2 linked regions of the Schizosaccharomyces pombe genome follow. The gene in region 2 interacts genetically with the main gene of each other region. Each region holds a gene or a part of one and is shown on either strand. Other genes may lie near its edges.

Region 1 (3,491 bases), on a different chromosome or scaffold from region 2:
ATGTCCAAAATTAATTTTGGTAGGTTTACACAAGAATAAACCAACTGTAATTATATCATATAATTATATTTCTTAAATATATATAATTATAAAGATTAGTTTACAACGATCTCCTTTAGTATAGGGGTAGTACACAAGCCTGTCACGCTTGCAGCCCGGGTTCGAATCCCGGAGGGAGAGAATATTTGATTATTTTTAATTTTTGCATTTTTTTTATTACTCAAATTTTGATTACTTTTGTTTGAACAAAATAATACTATAGAAGCCTGCACTGTCATTTTTATTTGAATAGAGGAATTTAAACTAAAATCTATCAGCTTGGCTTTGTTCTGAAAAAGTAAATGCTTCAAAAAGAATATGCCAAATTATTTATTGACTGATTGAAATTGATATCGGTGATGTTTATAATTTGATAATCAGAGTTGACTTTTTTATTTATTTAATTTATTGGTTCATTGATTTTTTTTGTTAAAGATATCATAGTTTAATAAATTATTCCTTACACTTTTTTTTTTTTTTTTTTTGAAAAATTTAATAAATACCCATCCGTACCTTATCGTAAATTTTTGACAGCATAATTTATGGTACATTGTAATTTATTTTGTGAAATATTAAATATATATATATGTATTTATAGAAAGTATTTTCTATTCCATTGAACCCATGTTTTGTGGTTTTATGTGTGACAATATCATCAACTTTTGCTGAAACGTAAAAAAATTTTTGTTTGTCATTTTTTTTTTGAACGAGTGATCATCATAGAAGGCTTTTAAAGCAACCTTCCATTTTCAATTGCCAAAAATCGAACAGTTTCTTGAACTGCTGTTATTAAAGTAGATACACAAGTGGTAGTACGAATGGGAAGGATGTCGCGTCGACGCCCTATGGAATCTATAATTACAATTGCATCCAAAGCTAATTTTGCTCCTCCAAGAGGATGCAGCATTCCCATCTCTCTACAAATTTCATTGTTAGAATCCGAAATAACTGGTAATGAAAATTGTAGAGCACGAGGCAGATGGGCTTTCCATTGACATATATTTTCAACCGTATCAGTAGTGATACCAATCACATCTGTGTTGTAGGATTGCAGACATGGATAAAAGTGACTAATGACAGATATGTGAAGTGGGACGTTGTCAACATAACCATAATCACCGCTGACATTACCAAAGAAACAGAGAACAAATGAAGAGAATAGTATAGGTAATTTATGAATTTCATTTATTCCACCGATACCATTTACAACGTAAACGGGTTTGGAAAGATTAATGAAACATGGTTCAAATACTACTTCCATATCTTCTTCCCTAATGACACGTGCATGGTTCATTCCGTTCCTAAACGAACTCTTTATATGGGGATGCATACCACGCGTTTCTTCATCTTTCGTAGAGCTTCTTCTTTTTTTTGTAGATTTAACTCTTAAAGTACAATTTTTCTCGTGAACAGCATCACGAGTCGAAATGGGAAACTGGAAAAGGTTTTGGTCGATTTCCATTTTCTAACCCTTTCTCTGCAAGAAGGTGAAGAAACGCTTGATACGCTTTAATAGAAAAAAGGTAACAAAAAAAAATAATATCGCTACCGTGCAATGTGAAACAAGCAGTTTCCCACTCTTAAAGTGGTTGGTTTAGGGTAAGTAAACTTGTTTATTTACATGATTCTCACGTCGACAATTAATCTTCAAAGTCGATCTAATTGGCCAAAAGTACGTTAGTTTAATACAAACATGAACCAATCAAATACTCAACCCCATATTTCGTTAATGCATAACAGGTCACAAAAGAGGTTACAAGTCGATCTTAAACTTAAAGCAACACCATACAGTACATTAATGATAAATTCGTTAAAATATGGCAGTTAAGATTAGAAGCTAATTTTCGGCGGCTATTAATAAATTGAATTATATATCTCATTAAAAGATTAGCATTTTTTGGAAAGAATGTCTGTTAACTGACAATAATTAAATAGCTGTTGATTGTGATGAAAACTGGGTCGCTCGATATCTTTTTTCCAATTCAAGGCCAGCTGCTTTTCTACTGAAACGGGTTTAATATCTGCAACTAATTTTCTTATCTCCTTGCAGGCAAAGGTCAATGGGCTTGGAATTGAGTTTTCAGTATTAGAATCCCGTAAACTGTGTTTGAGCCAGTCTATATTTTCACTAGTATTGTCACCTTGTGGATATTTATCGGCCAGTTTCATCCTTGCGGTCTTTAGCTGTTCTCTTAAATTACAAAGATTTTTCTCATACTGTGTCTTTAATGTTTCAAATTCTTTCAATGTTCTAGAAGTGATTTCAGAGTTAACTTCATTCTCGTATGATTCAATTTGTTCTTTTAAACGTTGGTTCATTTCTGTAAGGTCGTCTTTCATACTACTTTCCTCCTCCACTTGTTTTGATAGTTTCAATTTTGCACTGTTTAACTCGTCTATTACAATATTTGCTTTCTCAAGTTTTGCATTTAATTGCAATAATTCCTCTTGAGAGTCTGATAAGCATAGTTTCAAATGTTTAACTTCTGTCAAAGCAGGTTGAGAAGATATTAGTAACTGAGATAGCCTTTGAGTTTCCTCTTGCACCTCATTTAACTTTTCCGATTGTCTTGCTTCTATTTCAGTGTTTAGCTGATTCAAAGTTTCCAAGTCTTGAATTTCTTCTGTTAGTTTTAATACTTTATGAGACAACAAAGCATTTTCCTCCAACAGTTGCCTTCTTGTCTTCACACCATCCACTGAAGAGTTGTTGGACTTTAAGTTTAATAATTCTTGATAAACTGTGCTATTCCAATGTACAAAATTTTCATTTGTTAATGAAAATTGTAAATCCAAACTTCCCGGTACAATATTTAAGTATCTATTCACGTTAGATATTGTCAATTTCTCAGAAAACGGGTTTTTAGGAATTTTTACAAGCTCAGTTATGTCGACCTGAACCTGTTTTAATTGCAAAACCTTAGAAACCTCTGAGACCCCAAGGAGACTAGATGGTGTAACTTGTGTAGTCCAGTTGTCCTGGCTTTTAGGAGTTTTGGAATTCAAACTTCGATCAGAGTACTTATAATTAGGAATCTTTCGAATTTGCAACTTTCGCTTTCTTAGATACTTTATTTCTTTCTGCATAGCCAAGAATTTTTTGAGAAACTTTTCACGCCTAAAATTCCGAGGTTTTTCAATACTGTTTTTACTGCGAAGGAATGTCAACTGAGGTTCAACTTTCTCTAATTCCTTATTTAATTTATCAATTTTTTCTTTTAAGGCGGTATTTTCACACATCAATTCATCCAAACGACCCTTCCTTAATTCTGACTTTAAATTCTCTTTTAAATAACTTCCCTTTGAATGAGGAGTAAATTTTTTTTCACATTCCTGCAAAACGTTGTCAACTTGCCATACAAATTCCTCTTCCATAAAACTACTATCGTCAAGCCCAGACAATTTGCTCGTATCTGAGTTTAACAAAGTAGTGTCAAAACTTGATAATTCTT
Region 2 (2,915 bases):
TTTAACTCTGGCATTTTTGGAAGATGTAATAAAGCGTATGCCGTGGCCAACTGTCCCAAATCCAAATCTTTGATACGAAAAATAAACGACGCATGATGTTTTGTGTACGCACGAACATGTGAAACAAACGCTCTTAATCCCTTATCATATAGATCTCTGTCTTTGGATACGATTTTTCTCAATTCGTGGGTTAATACTTTAAGTCGTGAAAGATCTAAAGCTTCAATTGGAGTGTCTATACGAGTAATAGGTACCTTCCTAACCCTTAACAATTCCTCATATTCTTCTTCTCTTCCATCATTTAACAAAACTATTGCAACACCCGCTCGACCAGCGCGACCAGCTCTGCCGCATCTATGAGAAAAAGATTTCGGATCCAAAGGCGGGTCGAGCTGAAGAACAAAGTCAACATTTGGAATATCAAGACCCCGGGAAGCAATGTCAGTTGTAAAAAGAACTGTTTTTTTATTTGATTTCTTAAATTTTTCAAAATTACGTGATCGATTCGACTGAACTTGCTGTCCATGCAAAGCTACTATTTCAAACGGTAATTTATAAGTGAGAAAAAGGGAGTTAAAATATTCAACAGAAGCACAAGAAGAAAAAAAAACAATTGCTTTTTCGTATTCGATCGTACAAAGCAAATGTATCATACATTGTACTTTGTATATGGGAGGAATCACTAAAGATTGTATAGCTAGACTTGACGGTGTTCTTGTATCAATTTTTTTTGATGTAACTGTCACAGAAACACGTACGCTATTTCGAAGGCCAGCAATTTTTAAAAATGATGACACAGTGTCATTCATTGTTGCGCTAAACAACCCAGTTCGACGTTGTTTCGGAAGTTGAGATATAATGGATTGTAATGTACGCTGAAATCCCATGTCAATAAGGGTATCAGCTTCGTCTAATATTAGTATTTCCAAATGCTTACTGGATATATGAGAAAGCATTTCATTCAATCGACCGGGTGTACCAATCACCACTGAGGGGTTTTTTTCCCGAAATGAAGCTAAATCATTCGTGAGCGTTCCCTTTCCCCCAATATACATATCTGCAACGAGTTTTTTCCCTCCATCCAAAGAGTCTGGTTGGTACGCCAAAAGCTCTTTGGTAACATTGAATATCTGTGTAGCTAATTCACGAGTAGGTGCAACAATTAATGCACCCAAACCTGTTTCGTCCGTATCTCTACGAGTGACTTTATCGAAGCAAGGAAGTAAATAGGCCAAAGTCTTGCCTGAACCCGTTACTGCTTCAACTACCAGATCTTTATTTTTCAAAAATAATGGTATGGCATTAGCCTGAACGGGTGTCATTTTTTTAAATCCTTGAGCAGCTACGGCGTTCTTTCTAGTTTATGTTAGTGCTTGTAAATTGTTGATTTGACAAAATCCTGGTATCATTTAGATAATAAAAATTTTTGAACAGGTTAAACATGTAGCAGAACCTAAAATTTTTATTTTAGAATTGAAAACTTACAGCCATTTATCTATATTAATACTCTGAAAACTCATTGTCCCCTCTTTGAAGACCAATTCAATTTTTCGCGAGGTGAGCCAGAGGGGAATGCTTATAGGGAGAGAGAGGAACTGCTAGCGTTTAACCACAACAATTTCAGAAAAGCGTTTATAAAAGTTAGCATGCTTATCAAAGTAAAAGTAAGATAAATTTATTTCTTTTTTATGTATACTAATATATAATCATAGACATTGACAGGGAAAGAGGTTCGTGTTTTAAATGTTGAAAACATTTATATGCAGTTATAATTCATCTATGTTTCTAACCAAAATATAAGATCGAATTAGACATTGATCCAAATGACAAGGTTTCTAGGATCAAAGAACGGGTTGAAGAAAAAGAGGGTATCCCTCCTTCACAGCAGCGTCTGATCTACGCTGGAAAGCAAATGTAAGCACTATGGGAACATCCATACAATGATTCTAACAAACATCACGTAGGGCTGATGATAAAAATGCTGAAAGTTATCATTTAGAAGGAGGCAGCGTCTTGCATCTTGTGTTAGCTCTTCGTGGAGGAAGTTGCTAGTTGTTGCATACTTTATTTATAAAGAAAAATTATGTATAAAAAATCATACTTTTATTTAACGCTATAAACGAAATCTTTTTACTGTTTTACTAATACTAAGAGTAACGAAATGAGAATTGAGTCGCTTTATTATTGCTCTGTTTCATTTTATGTGAATCTATTGATTTGTATAAAAATATTGCTTAAGCTTTTCTAAACTTAAGACGTTTTGGTGATCATGAATTTCAGCGATAAGATTGATTACTTCTTGTTAATTTATGAGTAAAGTAGTCGTAAAGAGACGTTTTGCACAGAAAAGTCAATATATAACAACAATTGCTTGCGCATTCCCATCTGATATCAAAGTATATAAAGCAGTAGCATGCGAAGCAAAACTTCCTCAGTACAACATCGAATGTAATTACCATAAACGCAAAATCTCTAGTAAGACTAAAAGAAAATGTTGTTTAAATAAAACTAACTGCAAAATGCTATGTAGCAAAAACATGGGCTGTTGTGGGAATCGAACCCACGACCACCATCACCCTAAGATGGTATCATACCACTAGACCAAACGGCCACATTGATAGGGGTGCCACTTAAACATATATAAAGGAAATATACATGTAAATCTATATAAATTACATTTTTAAGGAGGAAAGTATAATCAATATGCTTATAAATTGCCATTTCAATGTATTGATTCTCATTTTTCTATTTAAGAAGTTTTAAATTTTTTTTGTTTATGAGAAAGTGACATCGGCTTTAAGGAACTGCTCTATTTAAAAGCAAGAGAGATTCATTTAATTATAAATAGTCTGCATAAAGCCAAATTACTATTATAAAAATTAAAAAAAAATGATATTCTTTCTTAATTTCAAATT

What was found.
Region 1: of ned8 (region 2) and but1, changing one enhances a phenotype caused by changing the other (phenotypic enhancement), as found in Schizosaccharomyces pombe (one study listed by BioGRID).

Annotation. Positions count from the first base shown.
Region 1 is NC_003424.3:4,532,748-4,536,238, forward strand, and holds but1 (thioredoxin family protein But1), read right to left. Parts: upstream 1,641-3,491; 5' UTR 1,502-1,640; coding exon 770-1,501; 3' UTR 579-769; downstream 1-578. Other genes in the region: dynactin microtubule-binding subunit, p150-Glued Ssm4, read right to left, coding at 1,927-3,491. UniProt on the Schizosaccharomyces pombe protein: Acts as a negative regulator of the NEDD8 pathway. Has a role in meiosis.
Region 2 is NC_003423.3:2,318,988-2,321,902, reverse strand, and holds ned8 (ubiquitin-like protein modifier for cullin Ned8), read left to right. Parts: upstream 1-1,607; 5' UTR 1,608-1,646; coding exon 1,647-1,664; intron 1,665-1,712; coding exon 1,713-1,730; exon of another isoform or gene 1,731-1,801; coding exon 1,802-1,914; exon of another isoform or gene 1,915-1,964; coding exon 1,965-2,052; 3' UTR 2,053-2,145; downstream 2,146-2,915. Other genes in the region: ATP-dependent RNA helicase Spb4, read right to left, coding at 1-1,356, 1,486-1,520.